4 linked regions of the Arabidopsis thaliana genome follow. The protein of the gene in region 1 interacts with the protein of each later gene in a pairwise test. Each region holds a gene or a part of one and is shown in the gene's direction. Other genes may lie near its edges. The genes, in order: AT5G11870, AT1G16170, AT2G27290 and NHL3.

The links.
Region 2: the proteins of AT5G11870 (region 1) and AT1G16170 interact in a protein complementation assay, tested with the Arabidopsis thaliana proteins (one large-scale study listed by BioGRID).
Region 3: the proteins of AT5G11870 (region 1) and AT2G27290 interact in a protein complementation assay, tested with the Arabidopsis thaliana proteins (one large-scale study listed by BioGRID).
Region 4: the proteins of AT5G11870 (region 1) and NHL3 interact in a protein complementation assay, tested with the Arabidopsis thaliana proteins (one large-scale study listed by BioGRID).

What each region holds. Positions count from the first base shown.
Region 1 is NC_003076.8:3,821,973-3,830,385, forward strand, and holds AT5G11870 (Alkaline phytoceramidase (aPHC)), read left to right. Parts: upstream 1-3,447; 5' UTR 3,448-3,747; coding exon 3,748-3,907; intron 3,908-4,016; coding exon 4,017-4,116; intron 4,117-4,186; coding exon 4,187-4,307; intron 4,308-4,680; coding exon 4,681-4,802; intron 4,803-4,905; coding exon 4,906-5,027; intron 5,028-5,105; coding exon 5,106-5,265; coding exon of another isoform or gene 5,266-5,269; exon of another isoform or gene 5,270-5,363; coding exon 5,364-5,391; 3' UTR 5,392-5,601; downstream 5,602-8,413. Other genes in the region: SSP5 (SCP1-like small phosphatase 5), read right to left, coding at 52-273, 597-934, 1,066-1,423; AT5G11880 (Pyridoxal-dependent decarboxylase family protein), read right to left, coding at 5,834-5,914, 6,012-6,101, 6,176-6,298, 6,395-6,580, 6,672-6,833, 6,945-7,094, 7,189-7,363, 7,468-7,970.
Region 2 is NC_003070.9:5,535,407-5,543,414, reverse strand, and holds AT1G16170 (ephrin-A3 protein), read left to right. Parts: upstream 1-3,412; 5' UTR 3,413-3,848; intron 3,849-4,241; 5' UTR 4,242-4,262; coding exon 4,263-4,541; 3' UTR 4,542-4,749; downstream 4,750-8,008. Other genes in the region: RAD23A (Rad23 UV excision repair protein family), read right to left, coding at 83-148; AT1G16180 (Serinc-domain containing serine and sphingolipid biosynthesis protein), read right to left, coding at 745-1,031, 1,227-1,467, 1,566-1,740, 1,820-1,931, 2,013-2,252, 2,327-2,510; WAKL5 (wall associated kinase-like 5), read right to left, coding at 5,146-6,266, 6,352-6,474, 6,551-7,502.
Region 3 is NC_003071.7:11,675,858-11,683,946, reverse strand, and holds AT2G27290 (FAM210B-like protein, putative (DUF1279)), read left to right. Parts: upstream 1-4,027; 5' UTR 4,028-4,181; coding exon 4,182-4,418; intron 4,419-4,904; coding exon 4,905-5,102; intron 5,103-5,190; coding exon 5,191-5,361; 3' UTR 5,362-5,642; downstream 5,643-8,089. Other genes in the region: NTL8 (NTM1-like 8), read left to right, coding at 1,992-2,172, 2,246-2,499, 2,572-2,769, 3,156-3,530; AT2G27285 (nuclear speckle splicing regulatory-like protein (DUF2040)), read left to right, coding at 6,050-6,208, 6,296-6,418, 6,851-7,069, 7,398-7,868.
Region 4 is NC_003076.8:1,928,001-1,935,318, reverse strand, and holds NHL3 (NDR1/HIN1-like 3), read left to right. Parts: upstream 1-3,550; 5' UTR 3,551-3,607; coding exon 3,608-4,303; 3' UTR 4,304-4,523; downstream 4,524-7,318. Other genes in the region: AT5G06330 (Late embryogenesis abundant (LEA) hydroxyproline-rich glycoprotein family), read left to right, coding at 1-358; AtPOT1b (Nucleic acid-binding, OB-fold-like protein), read right to left, coding at 4,524-4,727, 4,803-4,955, 5,054-5,112, 5,193-5,269, 5,362-5,628, 5,770-5,858, 5,993-6,057, 6,214-6,406 and 2 more. UniProt on the Arabidopsis thaliana protein: Confers resistance to Pseudomonas syringae pv. tomato DC3000 (Pst DC3000).

The sequences.
Region 1 (8,413 bases):
CCTCTGCTCTTGTGCCAGATTCTTCCTTTAAAAGTGTTTTGGCGATAGACTTTACCTTTCGAAAGGATCTCCCGCCTCAGCAGGATATTCAGGTGCGGCTACAGCTGCATCAATCTTCTCCCTTAGATTGAATTTCTTGGCGATCATTGGCCTTACATCTTCAACTCCAATTAGGCTTTCAAGAAATGGCAGCAAGTGAAGGAGTTCTTTATCTGATGGGTCATTAAACCAGCTCTCTATTGGCACTCCATTTTCCACTTGGAAACCAAATGCCTAAAACATTGCAGAAAAAGAAAAACACCAATGAGATTGTGCAACAGCCTTAGATCGAGCTTAGAGAATTCTTAATGGCGGTTCTGGAATCAACTTCTTTTCATCAACCCTACAAAACCAATGAGATAGCTTTTGCAAACAAAGAACTTCTACTGGATTCGCCCATACTACCTTTCATAGTTATTATAGTTTTCCTATACTAGAAGTGTATCCTACAATTATAGCTGATAAAAGCATCTATCGATCGGTTTAGGTATAAAGCATAAGAATGGAGAACTAAACGTGTTTACTCACTGTGTAGAAGGATAATAAGAGTATAATACCTGTGGGGAGTTATCAACAATGATAACACGAGATAAATCACGCCCGAGGACTGACAAATCCTTGAGGTAGTTACCATCAAAGAAAACACACGAGTCACGGTACACTCTATGGCGAAAGAGCTTTCTCTTAGGGTCAAGCACGTTCAGAAGTTGCTCAGCATAAATACTTTGGCTAGCTGTAAATATAATGATCTCAAAAAGTCGGGACACTCTCTCCATAAACTCTTTGAGGTGAGGACGGCATCGCACATACACCATATGCTCTTCTTCATTAAAATTCACTGGGAATGTGAAATCTACCTCACCACACGGCTCTAGAGTCGAGTGCACAAGAGTTTCTGCAAAATAAAACATATATGTTATAGTAGCCTTAAAACCTGGTGAGAAAAAACTAAGATTTGTGTGCCATTAAAACCTGCAAAGAGAGATACAATTTTAAACAAACGAATCAACTGAAAAGTAGCCTTACCATCAAGGTCTAGGACAAGAGAAATAGGAGGACAGCTTCGGGTTTGTTTAGGAAGCAAGACCGGCCTGAAAGTTGGGACAACAGAAGACAGGTTCGGCAAGTTCTTGATAAACAGATAAGGATCAAACTCATCGAGCTCCTCATCCTCTTCATCCTCCATGCATACCGAAGTAATAAGGGAATCTTGACCACGCTCGTCAACACATTCCAGCTTAGAGCTCTTCATCGCTAGATAAATGGCAGAAACCGAATCCAAGTTACAATTTGGATCTACGGTACTTGTATCTAGAGCAAGCAATCGATCATAAGGGTTCTGTGCATCCAAATCCCGAGAAGAAGGAGAGTCATCATCTTCCATTAAAACCCTATTAACATCAACTTGTAACTGAATTAGACAACAGAACTCAGAGCCTAATGCAACTACTCCACAATTTCAATATCTGACCATTATTCACATTCATACCCAAACACTACTATAAATCTACAAGTACAAGGTTCAATGATAAAGTTTTCAAATTTACCTTGTAGAAACTCTCTTCACTCCTGTAGCTACCGACAAAGCAGAGACACCGGAGATAGATCAGTTCCCGAGAGCCGTCAAATTACAAACAACTAGCTCATACACTATCTGAGAACGAAAACAGATCTTGGATTAGAAAAGGAGCAAAGCCCTAGATACAATTCACAAAGAAGGAACCAAAACAAAAAAGTACCCAGATTTAAAATATTTGAAAGATAAAAACTTTGGAGCCAAAAGAAGCAAAATTCGAAAACTTTTCATCGCGGAAAGTGACAGAAATCAATATTTTAAGAAAGAGAACCGAACCGGAACTGAAACCCACGAAATCGATTTCAGATAATTTTCAATTTTGATATATATATCTAGGGCTTTTAATACGAAAAAAGGGGGGAAAAAAGACATGTGGAAAAATCAAAGCTTTTTACTGGGATAAACGATGGATAAATCTAATCTTTCCGCTTTCTCCGCAAATTTCTCTGCAAATTTCAAAATTTCTTCAACGAAGCGCACACCTAGATTAAACTTCAGTAGCCCAGAAATTCGAGCTGAGATTGAAGAGCTAAGAAGAAGAAACGGAGAGGGAGAGAGAGAAAAAAGAAAACCCTAGAGAGAGTATATTCGTCGGAAAAAAGTACCTCCGATCAAAAACGATTTCTTCTAGCTTCCGTCTTCTTCTCTCTCTCTCTTCGAAATAAAAGAGTAAAATATTTGCTCGAAATGAATGACAGACGACTATAGTCTACATAAGCAATGAAATATTTCATTTAAATGCCCTCATACTTTATTAATATTTCATTAGTAACCTCGATAGTTTTTGATTTGTTAAACTAAACCCCAAACATTCGAAGAGTATTAGGCCGGTAAATGATGACGTCATCTCCGGTTGGAGGATAGTACAACGATGCCGTAGAGAACTAGAGAAGTGTCTTTTTCTTAAAAAGGAACCTTCTGTTTTTTACAAATTGAACATGCATGTTATGGATTATTGGAATAAAAAAAACGTTTTGAAGACTTTTGAATATTTTCTTTGAAAAATGAAATTATACAAGATTATGTGACTTGATTAGATTTGATGTTACAAGTTAAGTTGGTTTAGAATAATCTTTGTTTAGTACTACTATATATAGGATGATCTATTTTTCATTGGTTATAGCTAGAATGCTATATAGAATTGTGGAATGTTGTTTCATGTCATGATTATGCAGATTTATTACCAAACACATAAAAGATTAAGAGGTATGACATGAATGACGTGTTCTGCTGATTATGTTTACGACGAAATCCAAATAAAAGACAATTTGATCCAACACAAACTGAAAAACACTCAACCTGCCAATATTATTCAAAGAAATGAACAACATCAAACTTGTATTCAAGCATGGCACAATGGATGATTCAGAGAGGACATGATGGCTTAAAACAACATTGATATATTTACGTTCCCAATTTGAGCTTTAGAATATATGTTTGTAATTTGAGAATACATATGATTGTTTCATCTTCTTCCCCATCTTTCTCTTATACTCTTTCGTTTTCTTGAATACTTTGTAGCATAAAGAGCATTTAGACTCTTAGTTCATTCTCTTTTGAACTTTGTCTCATGTTAATCCCATTTTTGTTTTTGTTTCATACATGGCTATCTATGTGGGTTACTTCTAAGAACTACAACAACACATCAAGGATATATAATTTAGCAATTTTCTTAGTTAACTTTTCCTTCTCCTAGAAACACTAACCAGGAAACAGTTAACTAAAACCACTCCCGCCAAGTTTTGAAACGTTGTACATATATATAGGAGTGAAAATATTACTTTCAGAAACATGGGGTGGGATATATATAAGATATAAAAATGTAAGGGGTTACTTTACAAATAAAATAGAATAGAAACAAAACGTAGACGTTTAGAGCGGTCCTCGTCAACTACGACAACATTAGAGATCGATCGTCGTCGTCGTACCCGTCAGACTCAAGGAAAAAGAAAAAAAGAGATTCCGCCGCACGTTGTTCTAATCGAAAAAAGCGACTCTCAATAAATCTGTCTTCCCTTTTCTTTCTTAAACTGGAAGAAGATTAATCAATCAGACACAACAGAGATAACTGATTTATCCACTTCAAACAATACAAACCTTTAAAGTCTTCACCTTTATAGAGAGAACTTTTAATGGTGTGGTTGACGAATCAACAGATAGGGAGATGGAAAAGGAAACGAATTTTGGTTGTGGGATCGTTCCTCTGTTGGTCAATCATCATGTTCATCACTCCCAAAGTTCCTCTCGATTCATTTCGCCATCATATCTTCGCCGATAAACGCAATTTCATGGGTATCATCATCATATCACACTCTCTCTTCTTTTTTTTTTATCTCTCTCTGTCTCTGTGCATGTGTAATAACGAGAGACAGGTGTTTTGTGTGGGTTTGATGATGAACAGGAGTGCCTAATACATTGAATGTGATGACCAACTTTCCCTTTCTTATCGTTGGAGTTCTTGGTTTTGTTCTTTGCATTGGAGGAAGCTTCTTCAACATAAGGTATCATTCTCTTTCCCTTTTTTGAGTTTTATTTTGAGTTAGTTTAACAATTTGAGTTGTTGTAATGCAGTTTAAATGGTGAGATCTGGGGATGGACACTGTTCTACGCAGGCATTGCAAGCTTGGCTTTTGGTTCTGCTTTTTATCATCTCAAACCTGATGACAACAGAATCGTCTGGGACACTTTGCCTGTTCGTTTTTCTCACTTTACTTTTCTTCGGAACATGAATCTTCTTTCAGTTATGCATTCATTGCTTCTTGATTAGTGATGCGGTAATTGTATATATTGACAAGCACATTGTGAATACAAAAAGTTGAAGAATCATCTTATAGCTATGTAAAAAAGCTTAGATTAGACTTCATGGTTTTTCTTGGATTGGTTGGTTCTACAAGCACATAGTGAAGTGAACACAACTCTTATAGCTAATGGAAAGAAGCTTTAGAGATTTTTCGGGTGTAGAGTTGTGGTTTTTGGTTTTATTGAATGGAAAGTTGTTTTTGCTCATCATTTTTGATGGTTGGTTTATGAATAGCTGTTTGTTGATTAATGACGGTAAATTGCAGATATTGATTGCGTATTCGTCGCTTTTCTCTAGTTTTTTGGTTGAGAGAGCGGGGGAGAAAGTGGGACTTAGTTGCCTCATCTTGCTTCTATTTATATCATGTCTCAGTGTTGCTTACGCCAGGTAACATTAAAACCAAGAAAGCATTACCTCCTCTGTATACATATATGTTCATGGTTTTAGTCAGGTTTCGGATTGAAATTATATGTGTCTTAGTTGATGGCAGAGTGTTTAATGATCTCCGGTTATGCATGACGTTCCAGTTGATACCGTGTCTGGTGATTCCCGTCATGGCGGTTTTGTTACCTCCCAAATATACACACTCTAGATTCTGGCTCTGGGCAACAGGTTTTTAACTCAAAACCACATTTGCGGTTTTCTTATTAGAATCCACGGTCTTCTGATATCTGCTTATCATGAATGCAGCGGCGTACACTATTGCCAAGATTGAAGGACTTGCAGACAACAAAATATACAATGCAAATCGATATATCATCAGTGGGCATTCACTGGAGCATTTGTGTTCTGCCGTGGCTACGCTTTTACTTACCATTATGCTTTTGTATAGAAGCATTCGGTTTAATAGGTAACGTTTTTTCACTGACTCTTTCTCTTTGATCTTTGAGTTCCTTGAAACCTGAGAGGATTTTTCACTTTTCTTTTGTATGATGGAAACTAAAACAGATTAGGTGATCTCAAAGGCCGTCCTTGACATTCATTACTGACTCCTCAAGTTTTTTTTCTCTTGTATTTAGATGCTTCTGGATTCTTGTATTACAAATTTTGTTTGGTTGCTAGATAGATTTTGACCCATGATCCCACTAAAACATCGTTAGCTTGGTGTAATCTTGGTTTCTGGTTCTGAAACAGCTTTGGCTTTAAGGTTACTTATTCAAGTCTTATATATGTGTTTGGACAATGGACAATTTTACATGTAGTAACTAAAAAGAAACCAAAAGAATAATCATAACTCACAAATACACCTTTTATTTTCGGTCTTGACTTGTGACCTGTTTCTTATTCATATGATCACTTTATTGAGGACTTTAAATCATAGCACAGAATGTGGAAAAATCCAAGACAGCAATAGCATTATAGAAACGTAATCATACAATTCATCTAAAATAGCAACAATGATGAGTAAATCTCGGAGTTCATAGTCCTTCAAAGAAACGTAAATGGTCATCGAATGTCTCAGCATGCCTGATCTTAGTGATCGACCCATCTTCTTCAACCTGCAAAAAGAAGAATATAAATCAATCACTTTCTCTCAGGATCTTGACCCTCCGCTAAATTTCCGCAGAAAACGATAATAAGAAACAGTATTGTTACCCAGTATTCCGGGGGACGCATCTTGAGATTGTAAGTGGAAGCCATACTCATACAGTATGCACCAGCGTCATGAACCACCAGACCAGCTCCCTGTAACGTATACAAGAAACTAATTAGATTCCATATTACTTGAGCTGCCAAACATAATCAGATCCTTATAATACCTGTGGAGGAGTGGGAAGCTCTCTGTCTTTGCCCAAGAAATCAGCAGATTCACAAACAGGACCCACTACATCGAATTTGGTAACCTCTGCTTCAGGCGGTGTAGGAGAGACCAACTCAATATGCTTTTGCGTTAAAAAACAAAAACAAGAGGATGTTTAGCTATAGTTCAAAGGGACTAGAATCTGCAGATGCTGTTGTGAAAAGTATATTTGTTTTACCTGATAGGCATCATAAAGACTGGGACGGATAAGCTCAGCCATACTTCCATCAATCACTATGAAGTTTTTAGTTCCATTCGTCTTCACACCAGTTACATGGTTGACGAAACAACATGTGTTTGCAATCAGTGATCTCCCTGGCTCGATTATTAGATTCAGGTCTCGTGAAAGAACCAGCTCTCTTACCTATGAAACACATCCAGGATTCTAAAGATTCTACCATTCCAGTACTTTTGAGATCAAGATAAAGAAAAGAGTTTTGAGCTGTTGTTCTTACGGTGTTGATAAGATCCATGGGTGTAGGAAGGACAGCGCCGGCATGATAATAATCTATCCCTAAACCACCACCAATGTTCAAGTAGCTAACCTCAAAGCCTTGACGCCGGATTTCATCAATGTATTCAATCATGAGAACCGCAGCATCTCTGAATATATCCACCTGAAATAAACAGAACATACGTGAATATGCAAAGCTCAAGACTCAAGAGTTAAAATTTAAGAGATTGATTACATTAAAACACAAATTAAAAGGAACTATAGTCGGAGTTACCTTTGTAATGGTAGAACCAAGATGACAATGAGCTCCAACAAGCTTCAGCTCTTTGGGATGTGCCTTCACTTCATCCAGAAACCATTGAAGCTTCTCGTTCCTAATACCAAACTTCGAGTTCTTGTTCCCAGTAGCTACATATGGATGCACCTAAAATGGTAACAAACAGAAAAAGCTCATTCATATCCAAGCTAAAGAATAGATTCTAGGACATGCTGCTAAAAGATTGAAAATTTAACCATACCTGAGGATCAACATCAGGATTGATACGCAACAACACATTGACCTGCTTACCAGAAATTCTTGAAGCTTCCACAATGTTATTCAAGTCAAACTCACTATCAACATTTACGAAAACACCTTCTTGAGCAGCTAGAACTAAATCTTCCAAAGACTTTCCATTTCCATTGAAAATACACCTATTCATTTCATCCACACCGAAGACATGGTCAAAAACTACACATCAACATGAGACCAAATAAAAAAATATTCAAACTTTATTATTGGGGATAAAGAATCGTACTTTGTGGGATCGAAACCAGCAAGAAGAGCAAGCCTGAGCTCATTTCCACTAACCAACACAGCACCACAGCCCAAACTCCTCAAATGCTCCAAAATCTTGAGATTGTTATTAGCTTTAATAGCGTAACCAATAACAGATCTCACTCCTTCCAAAGCCTCTTTATAAGCCTCAAGGTTTCTCGTGATCTGAGGTTTGCTATATAAGTAAAAGGGTCGTTTCTCGACTGTTTCCATGATATCTTGAACCTTGGTTCCTTCGCAATAGAGAAACCCATCTGATGATTTCTTGAAACAGTGGTCGAAAGAGGAAGCAGATTCTTTCGTGAGGGTTTTGGTGGAGTTTTGGGAAACGGCGGCTTTGACGGAGAGGCGTTTAAGTGGCTTCAATGTTGACTTGAGAGACAAAAATGGGATTCTTGAGAGTGAAGTCTGATTCAATTGGTACTGATTTAGGGTTCCGCGGATTGATGAAGGTTGGGAGAGAAATTGAGTAACTGCCGCCATGGCTGGAGGATTTTTGTTAGGTGTGCGACTGTTACAGTAACACTGAAGGGTTTAGAAAAAAAAAGTCAACAAGTTTAAGAGTAGTTCCTGTCGGGTCCGGTTTTAGATATCCGACAATATCGAACCGGTGGTTATAGTCGAACCGATGGTTAAAAGAAGAAAGAACAAAGTCGATTTTAACTTCTTTTGGATATGGTTTTTGTCCTTGGGGGATAGTTTCTGCTAGTGTTTGTTTTGTTCGGTTGTGTTAGTTGTGTGTTGTAATAATCTTGATGCTTAAGGGGTCACCTAAAGCAGTCATGGAAATCTAGCCCTATCTATAAAAATTTGCCATTTCTCATCACCTACCAATACTTCTATTTGTTCGTATTATGCGGATATTCAGAGGATAATGTAAAACATTTTGTTGAATGCTAACGATGAAGTGCTCTATCTAGCCGTGC
Region 2 (8,008 bases), on another chromosome or scaffold:
AAGATATCTAAATCTACTGATTTCCTAATACAGTATTACACGTAGGTACGGACCAAGGAAGCGGAAAAGGAGAAGGACTAACCGTGTCGGTGGGAAGAACCCTAATCTCAAAATGGCTACCCTTGAGAGTCTTAACAGTGAGCTTCATGTCGACGAATGAGACTAGAAGATATAACCGGCGGCGTCAGCAAAGTCCGGCGAGGGAGCGAAAAATAGAGAGTGACCTAAAAGAGCTTTTTGATTTTCAATCACTGTACAACAATGCCGACTTTATCAAACAGTCGCTGTCAACAACATAGCGTTTTAAAACGCGGCAAGAGCTCCACGTGCATCGCACGTGACACACCCTTCTTTCTAAAATTTACCCGGATAAAACATTAATCAATCCAGTGCAATTTTTTTAATTTCCGGTTTACTACCTTACCAGTATAATAATCATAACAATGATCGGTACGTTTAACATATGATAATTTAATCAGAATTCATTCATACCAGCCTTGCGCCACCGTTTTGACCAAACAAAACACAAACGCGAATCGGGCAAAACGCAATTGTGGAGAAGTCGAGACAGATGAAAATTACGAGAAAGGAATTTATTTATATCATCTTCATATTACAGAAGGGCCAACAAAGGCCATTCGTGATTAAGCACACGATGTTCTATTATAGTAGAAAGATCGAATATTTTTTTACAAATTGAAGATTCATGAAAAGTTATTCAGAATCTCAAGTAGATGCATTAGCTCAGAACTCACGGTCGGGGAAGAGAATGGGAGCAACAAGGGACCAGATGAAGAGACCAGCAGTGGCCCAGCTGGTCACAACACGGACCCACACTGAAGGCCACCCGACATCCACCAGCTTACCACTTTCACCAACTGAAGTTGACCAGCCGGTTAGGAGCATTGCAGAGTACATGCTCGCAAGGGAGAAGATGATGTGGAAGAATGCGTATGAGTATGAAACTGGTTTTTTATTCTCTTTCTCTTCCTTCTCTTCTGCTTTCCCGTCTATCGGAAGCAGAGGCTTCTCTGAAAATTTTCATTGAAAGGAAATACGTTATGATACTTAGAAGCAACTCTCAAACACTCACACAACAAGGTTTCAATATAGGGATTTAGAATATATGTTTCAGTTCAGGTTTGATTCGAGTTTCCGAATGAATCCTTATCTTGCAATATAAGGAGGCAAAGTATAGGAGAAGGTTTTTTTTGTCAGAAACATACCTGCGCGAGGAGAATCAGGAGGGGAGAGAAGAGTAGTGGAAGAACCAGCACGAACAGCAGAATAAACAACCGAGAGAACAGTTGTGAGTAAGCCAATGGTCATTGTGCCTGTTGAAACAGCTTTAGAGTGATTGTGGAGACCATTGCACTCGTAATCCCGGGGTTCACTTGCAAGTCCACTGTAACAGAGGTACATGCAGTACAGAGATATAACCGATGCTGGTAAAATGCTTCCACCGACCTGCAAAAGAATAGGTTAATTTGACTTCAGTGAGCCTGAAATTGGGAATCAAATAAGATCTCAGATAAGAGAAATATAAGGTTTCAGTCAAAACTTACAGTAGGATGCAAAACTACAATGGCAAAGACGAATACAAATATCAAAGTCATGATAATGAAGAAGGTGTTGAGTCCACAATCATGTCCAGATGGAGTAAACCAGTGGAAGAGAAACCCAGAGAAGACGAATGTTGCCAAGTAACATACAAGAGAAACAACGAGCAAAGCAGCATACCTATATATAAAAGTCAAGTACTTAGATTAGTAGTGGGATAATGAAGTCACATGATTTAATTGCAAATATATTTACTAACCAGAACTGCTCGTCGTAGCCAACCCATGTGTCATTCCATCCATGAACAAAATCCAAAAGAAGTACAACTTGAACAAGCAGGAAAAATCCAGCACCAAACTTTGACATCGACTCTGCAAGATGTAAAATTGATTCCCATTAGTTCCAAGTTAATCGATTCACTAATCACTTTGCAATGATAAACAGAAACTTACCATAGAAACTGATGATTTCATTTGGAAGGAAGAACATAAAGATGACTAAAATGCACCAACAGATTATTTTCATCATCCAACCACCATGGTGTATACCATCACGAGGGTCTTTCTGATTTTTCACACCGATCATCATAACCGATAGAATAGAGAAAAACAAGAAATTCCCTAAGCTGACACGCAACACAGCATCAGTCTCAAACCATTCACGATCAGGTGTCTTGTGAAAATGGTTAATCCCTGCACACAATGTCAATGATTAGTTGCATACACCAAAATAATCTCACGAGAAGTATAATAACAAAAAAACTTACAAGGGAGCTTCTCCATGAGAGGAGCAGCAACTTCACGGAGAATCCATGAAACGATTAAGGAAAGTGCAAAGAGACCACAGTAAGCAATTCTAGCAGAACGTCTGCTGATCCCAGAAACCACAGTACGGCAAGCATCGCAGGCACAAGCAGCACAACACGATGCGAGACAAGAAGCTGCAAACATCTTCTTTCTCCTCTCAGATTAAAGGTTGGATTCAATATTCAGCTGCTAGTATCAACCAAAACGCAAACACAAATCATCAAAACACAAATCATCAAACAAACAAAAAAAACTAATTTCGGATGGAGACGGTAAGAAAAGCAGCTTTTTAAAGACCGAATCGAAAATTAATCAATTTTGCTCAGAGATAAACAGAATTATTTGGAATCAATTGAAATTGGTTAAAATAAGCTGAAATTTATCCCCAAATTCGAGATGAAATCATAGCTCCCGATCTAAAGCTTCACCCGAGAAACCTAGCTTTAGGGATTGAATTTGACCTCTGGAACAAAAGAAGGAAAACGAAAATCGCTTGAGAAAGAGAGAATCAAAATACCTTGCGATCGATCAAAAACCTTGAGCTATCCTCTCCTTGAAAAGTAAAACAACTCGTTGTTTCTTTATTATCTCGCTCCTGATTTCGGACTTTTGACCAACTTACAAAGGAACTAGTAAACCATCAATACCAAGTTTTCATGTTTGGCCCACTAATGGCCCAAATTATTTTAATTTCTCCTTCTGTTTATCATGCATGGGCTTTTGATTAAGATAGACCTCTACTAAAACCTTGCAAGTCTCCTTACAAAGAAAAAGAAAAAAGTTATAAAAAAAAAACTCTAGGCTATTGGGGGTAAATAGTTTTGGTTTGGATGCTAAATGCTAACCGGCTAAAGTGATTCACGGCAACGGCAACTCAGTCTATTAGGATTTCAGTGCAACTAAAACAATGTATTTTAGACTTTTAGTTTAGTTGGAAGCAAACCAAAATATTGAACACCTCATACTGTCATACAAATACAATATACAAAAGTACTAAACATTATCGTGATTACTAGAACATGAGTTGTCTTCTCGTTAATGATTAAAAAAGTTTATCTTAATACGTATTCGTAAATGCCCTCTGGAAGCTGCAAGAGTCAGATCATAGTCCTAGGTAAATGTCATCACTCATCATCGGATTCTAACAACATGCCCATCATCTTCAAAACACAAAGGAGTGGAAGCTAACAAACAACGCATCATCATTTTTTTGTCCTCTTTATATATCTTCTTTCCTATTTTTTATCTTTTTATTGTTTTGTATATAAAATCCCTAAATTCCCGTTTTATGTAACGGACATAATAAGCCGCGTACGGCGTATCCGGCAAATCGGCCCAGCTCGAGCCATCATCAATCTACGGAGGAGATCCATCTCTCTCTCTCTCTCCATATCGCAACAACACTGCTGAAGATTTCGGGGGTTGTCGACGGAGCTGGAATCTAGCTTTTTCTTCTCCAGATCTCTAAACCGATTCTCACCGGTTCGTTTTCTAATAATCTTTCACCTACTTCGGATCTGTTTCCCTCGATTATCCAATGTGCATCGATCGCGAGTTGTTGTTGTTGTGTATTGTGATTGATGATTGATTGAGAATGACGTTATTGTTGGCAATTTGTTGCTTTCATTTTCATCTTTCGTATACGATCCAAGCTCTTTTGTAATTATAATTATGACTAATGTCGTTTCCACAACCAATCAAAACAGCGATATGTGTCTCGAATTCTTGTTTCTCATTGACATTTATGATGGTTTATGATGGAAAAGTGATCTCCCAAATGTTACATTCAATCTGATTGTGATGATCTCCTTTTCATAGCATGTTTATGTTTCTTGTAAAATTGTGTTAAAACGACTTGTGTGTCAATTTTTGCAGGTTAATTGGTATTATAAAGCCATGGTTCTTGATGGGCTTGTATCTTCACCGTCAAGGAGACAACAATGTCTAAAGAAGCAGTGGGACGAGTTGGGTAGCTGGTCGACTCTTATTCAGAGGCATCAATATCTCTTAACAGCTTTGGCTCTTTTGGCTTTCCTCTGTACTGTTTATCTTTACTTTGCAGTCACTTTAGGCGCTAGGCACTCGTCCTGCTATGGCTTGACCGGGAAAGACAAGGCAATGTGTCAATTACAACTTGTTCAAGCTCTCTCCAAAGGGAAACTTAAATTCTTCTAGACTGTTTATCTATCGGTGAAAGTTTGAAACCCCCACATTTATTGTTCTTGTACTAAAACATTCTTTTTCTTCTTTATTCTATAATGCAATTTGTGTGTATTATTACATGGTGAAATAAAACCAGAGATTCATAATTGAAAGATAACTTTATTTCATCAGATGAGATGAGAGTATACATGTGCACTGTTTTGAGTCGGATCGTCACCTCCGGTTGTATGTCAAGCCTCTATTAGGCGCTCTTATTAGAGCTCATGCGTTTCTGTATATTTGGGAATTCTTACCAGCGGAATGATGATAGCAGCGGGATATAACTTCTACTACCTACACAGGTCGAGACTCTGAAACTGAAACCATAATGCTTGAAGTCAAACATTTTCTGACACATCGTTGACTCCTAGACAAGTAAGTTTTTCCAGTCATCAAATAATACATTCAAGTCACACCAAAAGTCCACACTTCATTTTCAAAAGTACATGTTAACTTCGAATTTCAAATACACTTTGTGGCTAAAGATGGATGACTTGCTGCCGAGTGATCTTATTGATTTTCTTGTCACCATATACATTACATAAAGGCTGAAATATTCTTGTACACGCTTCCAGAATCATTCTCTGCTGATCTCCATGACTTGGTCCTCTTCATCATCATTTTCAATATGGGCCTCTAAATCTTCAGGTGATGAACGGATCCTCTCCAGCTCGAGTGAAGCCTCTCTCATGTTTGGTCTTTTAATCCCTTTCCGGCTAAGACACTTTCGAGCGAGTTTCGCCACTGCCATCAGTTGGTCAAGCTTGCTTTCTTCTTTGATCCGAATATCAATGATGTCAATCACTCTGTTTTCTTTCATGGCCTCGAGGAAATGAGTTGCCAACCCCCTTCCTTCCTCAGAACGAATTCGGGACAACGGTTTTTCTCCAGTTATGAGCTCTACCAGGACAACCCCGAAACTATAAACATCGCTCTTGTCAGTATATTGGCTTGATAGGAAGTACTCTGGATCCATGTACCCAAAAGTTCCTGCAACCATTGTTGTCAGGTGAGTTTGATCAATGGTTACCGATCTTGATGTTCCGAAATCAGAAACCTTAGCTCCGTATTTTTCATCCAATAGGATATTGGTAGTCTTGATATCTCTGTGGTATATTGGAAATGATGCAGCTGAGTGCATGTATGTTAGAGCTCCCGCGATCTCTATGGCTATGCGAAGACGCACTTCCCAAGTCATCGCATAATCGTCGGATTCATCATGAAGGCGCTTGAACATATCTCCATTGGGAATATATTCGTAAACCAAGATCGGAACCTCTGTTTCCAAGCAACATCCTATTAGTTTCACAATATTCCTATGGTTAATCTGTGAAAGAAGGATGATCTCATTGATGAACTTTTCGAGCTTATCTTCATCGACAACTTTTGATCTTTTAACCGCAATGATCTTGCCATCCACCATCATCCCCTTATACACAGTTCCTTGACTGCCTTTCCCAAGCACCCTCTTCACGCTAAAGTTATCGGTGGCTTTCTTCAACTCTTCTGAGCTAAATAGCCTTGACATGTCTACATTACCGTCATTTGTAGTAGTTAGTTGTTGTTTTAACAACAAGCCTCCATTACGTTTGAAGAACTTCCTGCTACTGATGATCCTCCTTCTCTTTTTTATAAATATAATCAACCCAAGCGTCCCAACAACTAAGAACAATAGTCCCATTAAACCTAAAAGAACCCCTGCAATAACAAGAAAAAACATAAATAACACTGTTTTCTGCTCTACCTTAAAGGATGGTAGATGCAAGGTGCCATTGGAACTCACCTTGTAGCACGAGGGGTTTGGCCGGCTTGATTATCTTGGGCTTGGGATCGCATCTATAGCCTCCAGGCACGTTCACACAAGTGCCTTCTTCACAGATATTAGGTCCTTTGCAATCATCATTGTCTGCATATATATCAATTATCAGTATTAATGATCTGATTTATTCTCAACGAAAAAAGAAGAGGAAACAAACACTTACCAATGCAACCTCCTCTAAGGTATGGATTCCCTGTGAAGCCAAGGGAGCAATAGCAGTTCCTATAACTCATTTCGGAAAAGTAACCATACTCGCAAAGGCAACTATCACCGGATAAGTAAGATCCCGAATATGTCAGATTTATACAACCCAAGGGGTTCCTAAAGCGTGAATCCGTAGTAGCAAAGTACCAACCTAGCTCTACCACCACGTAGCCACCAGCATGGAACTGTTCTGGTATAGTAACATTTGACGGGGAATACCTCTTGCTAGACAAGAAGGCAACCTTGCATCCATCTCCTCCTGAGCTCTCTATATTGACACCTACTGCTTGTGGACGTTCCACCGGTATCCTCGCCTGGCAACATTTGTAACCGTCACATAACAAGTTTGTTACTTCTTGACTACTCTTGCTATCTTTGCAGCTAGATTCACAACCCAAGATCTCTGATTCTATATCCGTCATCAACGCCTTAGTACCGCAACCCACAGCCACGAGGCGGTTCTCGTCGGTGATGAAATATGGGCTGCCCTTGCCCGTGACGTTTAAATCCGGTAGCGACTTTTGGGGTACTTGACTAGTATTACTTGAACAACCTAACGAAGTCACAGGACCTTTGATGTGAACCACTCCGTATTGTTCATTATTACCTTCTGGAAGAGAGATGTTCACCACTTCCCTGTTGATTCTCGACAGGAATGGAACAGTTGTGCCGGACGACCCGGAAGTGGTGGCGTTGCAGACAACCTCGTACCAACCGTTGAGATAACAATCCTTCCCACCGATTCCAAATGGGAACGGAATCGAGATTCCTCCACAGGTTCTGTTACACGAAGTTGAAGAATTCTTACTGTTTGGAGGTGGCGGTGGTGTTGCTGCTGATGAGCCATTCATGAGCTGCAGAGTTAAGACAGAAGCTACAAGACATACAAACCGGTAAGTTTTAGTCTTCATAATTCTTGTATTTTTACTTTGGTCCTTGATCTGATCAATCTCAATCAGCTTTTCTACATGTTAAGGACCTGCCCGATCTGATGTTAAGGTAAAAGTCAATAGAGGTTTAGAAAGAAGCGTGAAGCAAGTTACAAAGCACCTAAAAATTAGTAAACACTACTAAGACTATGGTCAATGTCAATGCCTGAGGGATTATAATTTAAGTTAATGATTGAACGTTGAATATACAAATCCAATATTTTGCTCATGACCATGTGAAAGTAGACCAATGACATTATACTCATTTGACCATCGTCAGTTCGTCACCATGTTGGCATAAGGAATTATAAAACAAATTAAGTTTGGTCAATGTCAATGCCTGAAGGATTCTAATTTAAGTTTAATGAGTTCACGTTGGATTATAAAAATTTAACCTTTTTTCTGATGACCATATGAAAGTAGACCACCACATTATACTCATTTGACCATCGTCACCATGTTGGCATGTTCGTTCAGGATTCAGGATA
Region 3 (8,089 bases), on another chromosome or scaffold:
TAGAAAGGTACAAAAATACTTAAATGATCCAATAATACATACATTTCTTTGTCATCTTTTTTTTTTCGTTCTTTGAATTTGTAATAAAGAAAATTGTTGAGAAATATATACAAGATATTTGGTTAGAGAAGCATGACGTAATACTGATTTTTTTTTGGTGTTTTTTTGTTTGTTTATGATAGATAAGTTTTGAATATATATAGTCGTTAAAATGTCACTTTTGGACGTATTACCTAATCTGAAAACGAAATTGGTTAAAGAAATAAGTTGCGGTCGGAAATTAGTCAGTGAAGGAATTTGGCGGCCAAAGAAGATTTTTTGGTAGTTATGGAAATATTTTTAATAATTTTTTTAGTATAGATTAAAAATTATTGTTTCCGTTTGTTGCGAACGTGTGTGGGCTTAGGGCCCAATTCAGTTTGTTAGATTAGTAGGGGTTCTTTTCCGGCAGATTAGTGGGTTAGGGATTTATAGACTTGATGGTTTGGGTGAAGAAAAAACACAAATCAGTTTTTATGTTAACCAAACGGCAATATCCACAGGCAAACACACAACACATCTCATATTCATTGCCTGGATTGCAACTATGAGTATAGGTATGATCAAAATTTTGTAACCGCATTTCGAACCGTAACCAGACTGTTACTAAATCTGGTTAAAAACTGTAACCGATAACTGAAAAACAAATTAGTTACTATTAAAAAAAATACTAACCGTTAATTATTAGTAACTGTATCAAAATCGTTGGATAATCGTTGTAATTGTGTATATGCAAAGACAAAATATAGTTGTAATCGTGTATATGCAAAGACAAATATCGAATGTTTGGATAAAAATTGTCAAAAAGGTAAATAATAGATATGAAAAAATCTAAGCTAGAAAATAATAAGATTTTTTCTCAAACAAATATGTTGGAATGCTACATTGCTTGATATGAAGAAAATTTGGTGTACAATATACTTTTTCATCTTATTAAAAGCAATACAATATTTTGGGTAATTCTTAAGATTTCGCCTTCAATATTAACTATATTGTAATCATCAAATAACAATAACCATATATAATCATAATTGTTGTAACCGTAATCATTTTAATCATAGATAGTGGTTAAAGTTAAGGTTAAAAAATTTTATAACTGTAACTGATGGTTAATAAACCGTACCCGTAATAACCGTAACCATAATCATCTTACGTGAACACTAAAATTTATATCCATCACGTTTAGATTAATCACCCATCTTTCGAAGCAAATAAGTTCCAATATGAGCTTAGAGGACATAAAACTAGTTTAGAGAAAGTTACACGGATACAAATTTGGATATATAGTTTAGTTAGGATATGATTTTATTGATTTTATTATATATTTTAAAAATAACTAAAACGTTAATGATGACGTAAGCTAATAAAGTAATAGATTAGAAATTGCAATAAAAAAATATAATGTATTTAATAAAATAGATTCATCGACAAAAAAATAATAAAATAGATTCATATAAAACTTGTATTACACAAAAGAAAATATCTTGGCGCAAGATAATAAAATAATTACAAAGTGATTTAAATTCATTTTGATTGCCGTCAAAAACAAAAATTCATTTTGATAAGTTATTACACCCAAAAAAACAAAAACAAAAACTTATTGGCATGCGGGGTACAAACACCGAGGAAGATATCGAAACACGTGTTTAAAAATGAAGAGACGATTTATTAAGCATCAATGAGAGAACTTCAGAGCTGGGTTTGAGTTCTGTCCAATAATACATAACCACGTTATCATTTTTGTCCTTTACTATCTCATTACACTCTTCTGTTATTCGCCCAATTCTTACAGTCATTGTCCACGTCATCCTTTTTCCCTCTGAAGCCGCCAAATATCAAAAAACACAAAACCTTTACCCGAAGCAAAGTAGCTGCACACTTGCCATTTATAAGGCATGTTTCTTCATCTAAAGCAAAGTATTTTCGAGTTCCTGAGCCAAAAAGATCAAACAATGTCTAAAGAAGCTGAGATGTCGATCGCGGTGTCGGCTTTGTTCCCTGGTTTTAGATTCTCTCCTACTGATGTTGAACTTATCTCGTACTATCTTCGTCGTAAAATCGATGGTGATGAGAACTCTGTTGCTGTGATTGCTGAGGTCGAGATTTACAAGTTCGAGCCGTGGGACTTGCCAGGTTTTACTTCGGTTTTCTTTCTCTTTATGTTTACTTTGGTTCACTAATTTGAATGTTTGTGCCTATAAAACAGAGGAATCGAAACTGAAATCGGAGAACGAGTGGTTTTACTTCTGCGCGAGGGGGAGGAAGTACCCGCACGGGTCACAAAGCCGGCGAGCCACACAGCTAGGATATTGGAAAGCGACCGGTAAAGAGCGGAGTGTTAAATCCGGGAACCAAGTTGTTGGAACCAAGAGAACGCTTGTATTTCATATCGGTCGGGCTCCTCGTGGCGAGAGAACGGAGTGGATTATGCATGAATACTGCATCCATGGAGCCCCACAGGTTCTTAAAACTTTCATTTTGAATAGGTTGAGTTTTAATGTTTTGAGATATATTGAAATTTGGATTTCACAGGATGCATTAGTGGTGTGCCGGTTAAGAAAAAATGCTGATTTTCGGGCTAGTTCGACCCAAAAAATGGAGGATGGTGTTGTGCAAGACGATGGCTACGTTGGCCAAAGAGGTGGTTTGGAGAAGGAGGACAAATCCTACTATGAATCTGAGCATCAGATACCAAATGGTGACATCGCAGAATCATCAAATGTTGTTGAGGTCAGCTTGCTTTTGAGGAATGTGTCTTTTAACGATGTTTAATACTGGTAAAATTATCCGCTCCAATCTTAATCGAAACCACATTAAATTCAATATAGTTCCGAAAACAGAACCGATTAAGAAACTAAAACCAAACCAACACCATAGTACCATACTATAACGGATTCATAGTACATTAGATTTCACTAAAGTTGTTATTTTACTAAAGCAGATTCTAAACTTAAAACGTAACAAACCAATATATCCAATGTTTGGTTTTTATTTTGGCTACTAATATTATAACTCAATAGACTAAACCAACACTTGGGCTGAACATCCTTAGTTTTCTTGTACTGGTAGAGTTTAGAGTTTGTAACTGAAGTTGATCTCTTTCTATTGCGATGCAGGATCAGGCCGATACCGATGATGATTGTTACGCCGAGATTCTGAACGATGATATAATAAAGCTCGACGAAGAAGCGTTGAAAGCTAGCCAAGCGTTTCGACCAACTAATCCAACTCATCAAGAAACAATATCAAGCGAGTCATCGAGTAAGAGGTCAAAATGTGGTATAAAAAAAGAATCAACGGAAACAATGAATTGTTACGCTTTGTTCAGGATCAAGAACGTTGCCGGAACCGACTCCAGCTGGAGATTCCCGAACCCGTTCAAAATCAAGAAAGATGATAGCCAGAGATTGATGAAGAATGTTCTGGCCACTACTGTTTTCTTGGCTATCTTATTTTCTTTCTTTTGGACTGTATTAATAGCTAGGAACTAAAGCTAGTTACGACATACATATTATTTATACATAAATAAATATAGTATTTGGTCTATGGCAATATGGCATGTTGAGCTAGTCTTAACAATTATTCAAACTTGTGTACAAACCAAAATTTTTATGGAAAAGAGAATATTTTCGGATAGTAAACCTTTATAATCTGGGTGAAAGCTTTGGGAAAGAGATGATAGTTCCGTGAAAATAGAGACAACAAATTTCACATATAGTAAATGTGAATAATACCACCATTTCCTTAAGTTTTGCTGTTTGTTGTATTAGAGATTGCAAAGTGATATTCTTAGTTATATACAATTGTAATAAATTATACAAAATCCATAAGTAAAATAAATTATTTTAGACTATGTTTAGATATACAAAAGTTTCAGTTCAAAATATAAACGCCTGAGAATCAAACAAATGTTGTTTGTAGTTTTTTATATTTATAAAATAGTCTAAAAATATTTTTCTTACTTATGGATTTTTTATACTATATTAAAGTTTTATATATGTAAAAGATTACTCTGGAACCTCTAATACAACAAATGGTATACCTTCAGAAAAAAATAAAAAATAATTGTGTGTCATACAATAAATAAAAATAATAAGGTGAAAAGATTTGCTTTCTGTTTTTTTTGGTGGCTGAAAAAAACAATGGCGATGATGCTTCTGCAAATTCCTCCTTCGTCTTCCTTGTTGAACACCAGAAACCTTCAAATCCGATTCTTCCACTCTTCAGTTTCAGCTTCCTCGAAGAAATTCAGATGCAGAGCCGTCCGTGAGAAGGCGGAGGACATTGATAAGAACATTTCGCCGCCGTCTTCTTCTCCTCCTCCTCCTTCCGCCGAAGAAGTTACCAAGAAATATGGCCTTGAAGTTGGTCTATGGAAGGTAAAATCAATTCGATTGCGCAATTTCTCGTTTTAATTCGTAATCTAAAATTGATGATTCTATCGCTATGGAAGCTTTAAGTGTAAGTAAAATAGTGTTTTTGGATGAACATGTGAGGACATATGATTGTTTCTGAGCTGAATGATAGGCTAATTCAGAGCAATTTTGGTATTAGTAGAAGCTATTGAAGCTTTAAGTGTAACTAAAATGGTGTTTTGTATGATTATGTGAGCAATTTTGTAGTTGTTGAAGCTATGGAAGCTTCTAAGGGTACTAAAATGGTGTTTAGATGATTATGTGAGTAGATATGATCGTTTTCGTGGTAGTTGTAGAAGTTATGTAAGCTTTTAACTATGCTAAAATGGTGTTTTTTTTTATCAACAAGTGAGCATATGTGATTGGTTAGTTTGGAGCATTTTTGGAAGTTGTAGAATCTATGGAAGTTTTTGTGTAGTAAAATGGTGTTTTGGATGGACTTGTGATTAGATATTAAGCTCTAAGGATGATGAAGGAAGTGATGGAGACAATAAGAAGAAGAAATCAAAAACAGATGAGGCTAAAGAGTTACTTGCAAAGTATGGTGGTGCTTATCTCGCTACATCTATTACTCTTTCTCTCATTTCCTTCTCACTCTGCTATGTCCTTGTGACTTCCGGTGTTGATGTTCAAGCTCTTCTTCTAAAGGTTACTACTTTCACTTCTTGATCATACTAAGTTTATGTTTTCTTGATCTTGGGTTGAGTAAAGCTGATTTTGATGTTTTGTGTTTAAGGTTGGGATTTCGACGAATGAGACAGGAGAGAAAGTAGGAGCCTTTGCTTTGGCTTACGCAGCGCATAAAGCTGCATCTCCGATAAGGTTTCCGCCTACAGTGGCTTTGACTCCTATTGTAGCCAATTGGATTGGGAAGAAAGTGGACAAGGAGAAGGATGATGACAAGTAGCTTACTTTGGAGGTATTATAATGTAGATGTTCTATATATTACTTGATAATCAACATACATAATCCTGTACAATCCTCACTTCTCTACCTTGTATGTACAAAAAAGATTGAAGCATATCTGAATATGATGATGAGTTAGAAAGATACAGAACCAAAGAGTGGCAGAATCCAAGTTGTGATATAGTTTTAGACTTGTCTATTTAATATGTGGTTGGTTGGAAATTACGACTTCACGATTCACTAACCTCTAGACATTTGGTAAGTGGGAGAAGTAGTTGTCAAATGGTTGGGAATGATCTCTGTGATCCAGAGCATATGACCTCGATCGTTTTGGTGATGCATTTTAACTTGTACTCTAGAACCTCATTATCTCGGCCCATCAAAATATGAAAACATTGGGCCGTAACAATTGGGCCGTAATCATCTATACCATCTATAGTTAATTGGATCTTTTTATCTCCTCCCTTCCTCTTTCACTTTCTTCCATGGATTACTAAATTCCTTAATCCTGGGAAAATCACACCAATCAACTTTTGTGAATTGTAACCCTAATCGATTCTACAGCGAAATCTACCTATTTCATGCTTGGGTTTGATTAGTGTTTTTCCAGAATCTGGGACTTCGCAGGAATTGCGCTAATTTTCAATCGATTTTGCAGAAGTTTGTTGCTCCTGGAATAGAAATCGAAGATGAAGAAGTACGGATTGCAAATCAGAGCTCCTTCCCAGAAAAAACAATCATCATCTCGACCTCCACTTCGACCCGCTTCAATATTTGATGAAGAAGAAGATCACGACGTCGAGAAGGAGATTTCTCGTCAAGCAACAAAGACCAAAGCTCATAAAGAAGTAAGCTTTTTTCCTCCACTGACTCGAGTTCTTGTTTCTTATATTTCCTTCAATTTGATCTGCTTGATAAGTGATTGTGTGTTTTAGATTGAGGAGCAGCATAAGAAAGCCTTAGAGGAGGATCCTTCTGCTTTTTCATATGATGAAGTTTATGATGATATGAAACAGAAAGCTGTTCTTCCTCGAATGCAAGATCGTGAAGAACGCAAGGTAATGTTTATCTCTTAGAGAGCTTAAGACTTGAAGCTTCTGTAGCTTAGGGAATCAAAATCTATGTTTCCATGTTCTTAAGAGGAATCTATGATCTGTGTCGGGCTTGGTTTATCATATGATTGAAGTATAGGAAGCCATAACTTAGCTGGATTTTCTTATTACCCTTAGAAACCACCAAAATCTTGATATCCTGCAATACCCTAACAACTACCAGCCTATAACCCATGGCTACATATAGTTACCAAAAAGTGTAAAGCTTAGTTACTTTGTTTTAGTTAAGTAGAGGTGAAGTTTCTGAGCCTCTACATGCGTCAGTTTTAGTAGTTTCTTATGGTGTTACATTCTCTGTAGTTGGGGCACTTTAATTAGGTTTCAGAATGACTTATTGGATTGCTTATGTTTCATTTAGTTTTCTTTTTCTAATTGCAGCCAAGGTATATACAGAATTTGATGAAACAGGCAGAACGTAGAGAGAAAGAACATGAGATAGTTTATGAGAGAAAGCTTGCGAAAGAGAGGGAGAAAGACGAACATCTTTTTTCGGATAAAGAAAAGTTTGTTACTGGCGCTTATAAAAGGAAACTTGAGGAACAAAAGAAATGGCTGGCAGAAGAAAGATTGCGTGAACTTCGTGAGGAAAGAGATGATGTAAGTTCTGTTTCCTTGTTCATTTTATTTCATGTTTGTGTTTCTATCTCTCTCGTCTATTAAACTAGTACTTGCTAGGATAGCTGAAGTCCTATCTTTGTCCTTTTACGTTTCTGTCTTAAGTAGCTTTGGTTTGGGAACTGTGTCAAGGTAGTTTGCATGTGGTGGCTTTTAGGACATGATGGGTGGGTCTAGAAACCATTTTCATGTCTCTGTATTAGCAATGGGGAGATATATAGCATATAGCTTTGGTAAAATTAAAGTGATTTGTTTTTATAGCTATTAATACTCATGTCAGCTCTTTTCCTTTGTTTTCATCTTCTGTTAGGTTACTAAGAAGAAAGATTTGAGTGATTTCTACTTCAACATTGGAAAAAATGTCGCTTTTGGAGCTCGAGAAGTCGAAGCTAAAGAGGCAGAGAAGCTCGAGGAACAAAGAAAGGCAGAGAAGCTCGAGGAACAAAGAAAGGCAGAGAAGCTCGAGGAGCTGAGAAAAGAAGTAACAAGGGTAGAGAAGAAACGAAAATCACCGGAGAAGGAAGTATCTCCTGACTCGGGAGAATTTGGATCAAGTCGTAGCAAAAGTTTGGAGCCACTAGAAGCAGAGCAAGCAGTTTCTGAAAAGGAGATGGGTTCAGATGGCACTGAAGAGAGAAAGTCATCAATCAAAGAGGCAGCAAAAGAAGTGCCGAAAGCCATTAACGACCAGAAGAGAAGAGAGGATGCGATCGCTGCCGCTAAAGAGAGGTTCCTGGCCCGTAAGAAGGCAAAAATTGAAGAGTATGTGCAACTTGGCTGATTTCAGTCCAATAGTTAAATCTTGGTGAACTTGTCTTCTTCTGATTATCGACCACCCTCTTTTTTATAAGTAACTTTTCAAGATAACGCTTCTTATATTACAGGGTCTACTTCCATTACAAATGCAATAGGTTTGATGGTTAATAAAGAAGAGAACGAACAAAGAAAAATCCCCTACGTTGAGATGCACATTGTCAGGGTCAGTTTAAATGTCCTAGTGGA
Region 4 (7,318 bases), 1.9 Mb from region 1:
CTACGACCGTCTTGACGTCTACGCTTCTTACCGGAGCCAACAGATCACTTTGCCGAGTCCCATGCTTACCACTTATCAAGGACACAAAGAAGTCAACGTTTGGTCTCCTTTCGTCGGTGGATACTCCGTTCCTGTGGCTCCGTACAACGCTTTCTATCTCGATCAGGACCATTCAAGTGGCGCGATCATGTTGATGCTTCATCTCGACGGTCGAGTTCGTTGGAAAGTCGGATCCTTCATCACCGGAAAATATCATCTCCACGTTAGATGTCATGCGCTTATCAACTTCGGGAGTAGTGCTGCCGGAGTTATCGTCGGAAAGTACATGCTCACCGAAACTTGTAGTGTTAGTGTTTGACAAATTAAGAGGTACTTAACGGTGACGGTGGTATCGGTCACGGATTTTTTCATTATTAATAACGTAATATATTTTATATATAATCTCGTAGTAGTTAAGTTTTATAACTTTTTTTTTCCTACGTCATAGAGAAATAATATCAAGAATTGCAATCGGTTGCGTTATTGTTATGACGAGCTGTAAAAGATTCAAAGGAAACACTAAAATATAGTAAAAGACAAAAAAAAAGGTTTATTTTTATTTCAGTTGGTAACAATTTATGATGGATGATTCAATTAAAAACTGTTTTCTATATAATGATAATAATGTATATTCTCTTGTTTCATTGACTATGATTTTGTGCTGATCCAGAGTGACGACAATTGAATTTTAGAAATATCTGATCGGAACGGTAACCATTTGTACGGTGTCATTATCTATAGTATCTTGTCTTTTTTTCTTTTTCTAAAACAGAATCAAGACCCATTCTCATATAGTTTTTCAATTTCCCATTAAAGTTTAGATCTTAAAGTTGGCTCTTTACAACAGTTCAGTACATTCAAAGGAAAAACTCTTGATCAAATCTATATTCCTAATATATTGGTTAGTTTGTCTCCTAAATATTCTTGGATCTTGAAATGATAAAAAGTAGAATCATGTTGCTTATTTTACAAGAAATAGGGTATTTTTCTCCAACGTTCGAATCCCACGAATATTCTATATTATGTATTTTTTGGGTTAATAATGAAGTCATCTTATAACCAACTGCTTCGACTAATTTTGCCTCTTTTGTTAAGAGATTTGTAGGCGTAATTCTCAATCTGGAATCCACTTTCTCCAAGAGAGAAAACTTGCGAAATGATTCATTACATGTGCTATTGTTATTATATTCGATATGTATATGTATTTCAGAAAGAAGTCCAATGTGAGAACATTCAAAATGTACATAAGAGCGAGGTCCAATTTGAGCATAACGTACGCAATTTGTTCGTTAGATTCGTCACCAACAAATATTTGATGTGTTTGTGAACGATTTTTTATGCAATTTTTTAATCTTAGTCCCATTTATCTACTAACTCCCACGTGTTTTGTTTCCTTTGTACATATACACGCTGCCGAATCCAGTTTGTATATAAACATAATTTTAATTGAAAATCTTCGAAACATTGTACTGAAAATTTGCCATACGTAATCTAGGTAATTGATCAGCATGATGAGAAACTTTACGCCCATCAATCCATGAATATACAATCCTAGTTTGGAACCGAAGTTATACTGTAAAAAAGCAGATGATAAAAACACACAATTGTCTACATAACCTTCCCTTTTTGCCTTTTTGAAGTCATACATTTTATTAAGCGTGTAAATGATCAAGACTTGAATATATACATAAAGATTCGATTTTGTTCATCTAGAGAAATTCATAACCAAAACATAGAATAAACATTCATAACCAAAGGATAACGTAAGTAAAATGAATCATGGAGTTGTATCATTGGTCCACTGGTTAACACGATACAGTTTCGACTTTCGAGTCGTATTGTATTCCAGATTTTAACAATGATTAACAACACAAAATTATGGTGACAACCACCAAATTAGAATTAGTAATAGATTACATGAAAAGTATACCCTATATGTTACTTCCTTAGATATATGTCCATTTAAACTTTAGTGGACATCTATTCAACGCAATTTCTCAATAATTTATTCGGATGAATATCGGAATTGAGTAGATAGGGATCGGTCGTCGGTTCCTCCATTTTCAAAACCCTAAGAACAACCAAAGTCTTCATCATTTATTTGTCCAATTCCAATGATCTATTTCGTCCAAACGGCTAAGATTGAAGGAGTCTTCGTGAAATATTTGTTGTCTAATTTAGTTTAATGTTTTATCACCACACACATTGACACCGCATTAAACTCTAACAAGTTTTTCAAACACGTTTGTTCATCACCAGGTTTTTCTTTAAAATTATTGTGTATTACTTATCATATACAATGAAAATTATTGTTATACCGTATAACACATAAAAATTTCTTAAACTACATTGACTACTTTAATAAATAAATAAAACACATTACATCTCATATTATAAGAATACTTTTTTTAGTTGTTACATTTGTTTTTATAAATCCTCCATAGTTGTTTTAAAGTTTAATATGATTGAGTTGCGATCTAGTATTATTATTCTTTATTAAATATGCTTGACCTTTCTCATTGAAGAAAGATGTAAACATTTGAAAGCATGGCTTCACCTAATCTTCCTTTCAATTACAGGTCACATCATCCAACTCTAAACACCAACCTCCCTTAGTTTTCCTTGCTTTTAGCATTATAACATTAACAAGTCTTTGCAATGTTTAATTTTCTTTGAATTTGAGAAATCTTTCACATTAAACATTTTCATTAATTGATAATTAATTAAATAACCTTTATCAGTAGAACTGTTCTCATAGTTATAAAATAAACATTTGGAAAACCCCACCTCAGTTTCAACTTGCAACCTATAGATCAAAGTTATTTCATTTCATCATGTTATATATATAATGTCGAAATTCTTGACCGGGACTGGTTTGTCTTTTTCTAACTTTGTATAGGCTTATTGATATTTTGGCCACATTTTCTATTTTTGTTCTCAAAAGTCTTTCGTCAAGTTTAAGAAACAATGGCTATATTAGAGCAGTCGCTTTTGGGGAAGTTTCTCGGAAGCTTAGTTACATTGTAAAAATGACTATTCACAATTCACAAACTAACTACCGCACTAAGTATCATCACATTCTCACATGTCTTATATAATAAAAGAATATATAAATAAATATCTACATATGGATATTCTTGTATGCGATCGGCACTAACCTCATTAATCACCAAATCATGTATATATGGATTCAAGAAATAATCTCATTAAGCTTAACCAAAGTATACATAGTCAAATTGAAGAAGAAACCATATAGTAAAATTTAAGAAACAATCTTTAATGTATATCAAACTGTTAATCCTAAATATCTAATAACAATCTCGCAAGTAACCTCTACTTAAATCAAATTTTCATCGAACAATATTAAACCGACGCGTCACCTTTGACTTTGAAAAAACAAAACCGCGTCAAATTAAATCGTTTTATCTAATACACGTTATCTCTACAGTGTATATATATTACGGCCTCTTCTTCTTCACTTCAAATCATATTTACTTTTTCAAAATCTTATCACAAACCAAAAAAAACTTTCTTTCAAAATCGTTCTCTGAGGCATTTTAACGAACAGATGGCGGACTTAAACGGTGCGTATTACGGACCATCGATTCCACCGCCGAAGAAAGTCTCTCACAGCCACGGCAGACGCGGCGGTGGATGCGGTTGTTTAGGTGACTGTCTTGGCTGCTGCGGCTGCTGTATCTTAAGCGTCATCTTCAACATCCTCATAACCATAGCCGTCTTATTAGGCATAGCTGCTCTAATCATCTGGCTCATTTTCAGACCCAACGCTATCAAATTCCACGTCACCGACGCTAAACTCACCGAATTCACACTCGACCCAACCAACAACCTCCGATACAATCTCGATCTCAATTTCACAATCCGTAACCCTAACCGCCGGATCGGTGTTTACTATGATGAAATCGAAGTCAGAGGATACTACGGTGATCAGCGATTCGGTATGAGTAACAACATCTCGAAGTTTTACCAGGGACATAAGAACACGACGGTGGTTGGAACTAAACTCGTGGGACAGCAATTGGTGCTGCTTGACGGCGGAGAGAGGAAGGATTTGAACGAGGATGTGAATTCTCAGATCTATAGGATCGATGCCAAGCTGAGACTTAAGATTAGGTTTAAGTTTGGGTTGATCAAGTCGTGGAGGTTCAAGCCCAAGATCAAGTGCGATCTCAAGGTTCCTCTTACCTCTAATTCAACCAGCGGGTTTGTTTTTCAGCCGACCAAGTGTGACGTTGACTTTTGATTGCTAGTCAAGAGTCAATGCTATTATAGTCTTCTTCGAGTTCATCATATTACACTTGTTTATTGATTCTTATTTTAGATTGTTTTGCTTTATTATCTTCCATACATATCGTTGGAGAGAGATATTTTTCTTATGTAATGTTTTATTGTATGGTTCCATGTAAATAAATAATCACATTTTGTTTAATGCTAATAACTATACAATTAGCATTATGATTGTCTCATGAAGCATTGATCCAAGTATCAAAAATGCGGAATCTTCTGCTTTCCCACTGATCCATTTTGTGTTTGTAGAATGAGAACAAGCAACATTGTACCCATGGAGGATTTCTTGGCACTTTCTCCATCTCTTCACCTCCCAACAATCTATTCAGCTTCTTGACTAGAGCCTCTTCATCAGATTCGTCACACCCGAAAAACTTTTCCTGTAAAAAGATATACAGATATAAGTATTAGACAATCCTTCAATGAACACTAATAATTAATCGTGTTTTACTTACCCCTTCATCAGCATATAGAGAAGCATGGATTCTGGCGGTTGCATCTTCTAGTATAGCTACCAATTTGATATTTCCGTTGATATCACGGAGTTTTCTGACGTCTCGGGGATACACTTGTATGAACCGAACAACACACCTGAATTTAGCAGTCACCTGCATAATAAGCATCAGTAAAACATCAATTCAAGAAAGTTTTCACTATACTCTTTTCCTACAACTTATGATAAATCCAAGGTTTTTGGATACATTACATTGTGATAGGTCAGGATGTCCATCAGAGAAACAAATGGAGCATCGTCATGGGCAACCCCTAGAAAAGATTAAACCATAAGTATTATATTAAACGTTATGTCAAATTTCCACAATTCCAAACAATTAGCTGGTTATTACCTGTGATTTCAGAATGTGAACGACTAATGCAACGCGCGATTGGGTTCCATCTCGGTGAAAACTTCTCCCCACACATTCTGAAATGGTAAGAAAGTGTGTTTTAAACTGAAGAACAAACGGACGAAGCAGAACATCAACTCACAGGATAAGAAAAGGTGTCAGCAGAAACCTTTGAGGACTAAAGGCTTCCATCTCTCTGCTCATTGTGTACTGCATCTTTGTAGAGGGAGTAAAAGTGGCGTTCCATAATCCCATATTTACTTGAAAGAAAAGGTTCAGAAGCTTCACGTGTTGACCAGGTTGAAGACAGTGAATGGCCTGCTTCTCACTAACTCTATCTACTATGATCCTCAAAACGGAACCAAAAGTAGGAAACTTACGTAACATGTATGTAGGCAACATCTCGGGTTCTACACATAAAGGAAGCCTTTCTGACCTATTATGATTGCAAACAAAAACAGAGTGAGATGAGTAACACGTTTGGGATATATGACCAAAATCTAGTAAATGAATATAAGACGCATAAGAGAAACTTATTTTTACTCGTTGTATTTTGGTTGAGGAAATTCAGACTTACTTAACCAAGATGTTGCAGGGTGGCATCTCAGTTCCATCCCAAACAAAGAGGTACCATCTATCTTTATAGACCTTGGAAATGTGAACAATCTTCAAAGGAAACAAACAATGAGAAACAATGTCAAAGACATAGCAGACCATAAAAGACACTTACAGTTCCATAAATACAAATGAACATGAAAAGTAAAACCAAAACATATTCTTTTAAGGAATGATCAATCTACCTGGCAAGATAGGTTTGAACATTCGCCTTCTTTGATATCTTTCAGGGATGTGAAACAGCATGACCCTATCATAAAACAAAACAAAACAAAACCTCACAACAATCGCAACTTACCACCAAGACATAGAACACATTAGAGATAAAGTACGAAGCAAACATTTGCATATAGAGATTTCAGTGAATAAGTAGAATTCATTAGAAATGATATTGCATCATAATTACCATCTTCAAACTTGTACGTGATCATCCATTCTCTCAGATTCGATAAGAAGTTCTTATCCTGTTCTCTCATCAGGAATTTAGGTGAGGACTGGTAAGGTATAGAATCCACGCTATGTTTCCCATTGAATAAAGCAAAAGACGAAGAGGTTGTTTCATTGCAGAGAGCTGTGATTTTCCGGTTAATCAGCACAATCTGAGTTTAAACCCAGAAGAAAACTGTTTAACAACAAAATCAGCAAAAGCCACGAAGAATTGATCTTCTCATATCAGAGGAATAGTGTGTCAACCTTTACACGTGAAAGTAAGATGATATCTCCGATCGATTCAACACGAGGAAGGTCTCGAATGGTACGAGCGACGAACTTAACGGGAAGGCCAGATCCCGAATACCATGGATCAACGATTTTGAGCGTACATGAACAATCTGCGACAAATTTCGAGCAGTCGGAAGTATGAAAAAACGAAGCTATGATGAAATGAAATAGCAAAAAAGGATTTTGGGAGAGGATCACGATACCAGAGCCATTGGAGAATCCTAGCTCAACGATGACTCCAATGAGGTTAACATGAAGATGCAATGCTTTGAAAGCGTCTTGAATTCTCAGGAATTTGTAGTCATCTCTTCTCTCCTCCTCCATGTCTCTGATCGTTGGGGTTTTGCAAGGGTTTGAAGGAAATCGACAACGGCGATGGATGCGATGACTCGGCCGGTGCCACTCCGGTGAATCTTGCTGAGTCGTTTAGGAGCTCTCGTAACTCAAATGGGTCTTAAAGGCCCAATAATAATGATTAATGGGCCGCCGCTACCAAGTTGCTCATTAAGAAGAAAAAAAAAATCTATGATATGAGTTTCATACAATTGGATGTTTGGAGGTTTTCGTAACTTAAATGGGTCTTAAAAGCTCAATAAGAGTGATTACTTTACTAGGCCCTCAGCTGAAATTCTGGCTATGCAAAGTAAAATTTCTTAAACATTATAATAATCTTTTTTCGAAATTACTAACTAATTGTATAGTTTCTTTGGGTATAGAAATATATATTTTTTTGTCTAAAACAATCCTTTTTAGAATTACTAATCTATTGAATGATTTTTTTATATAATATG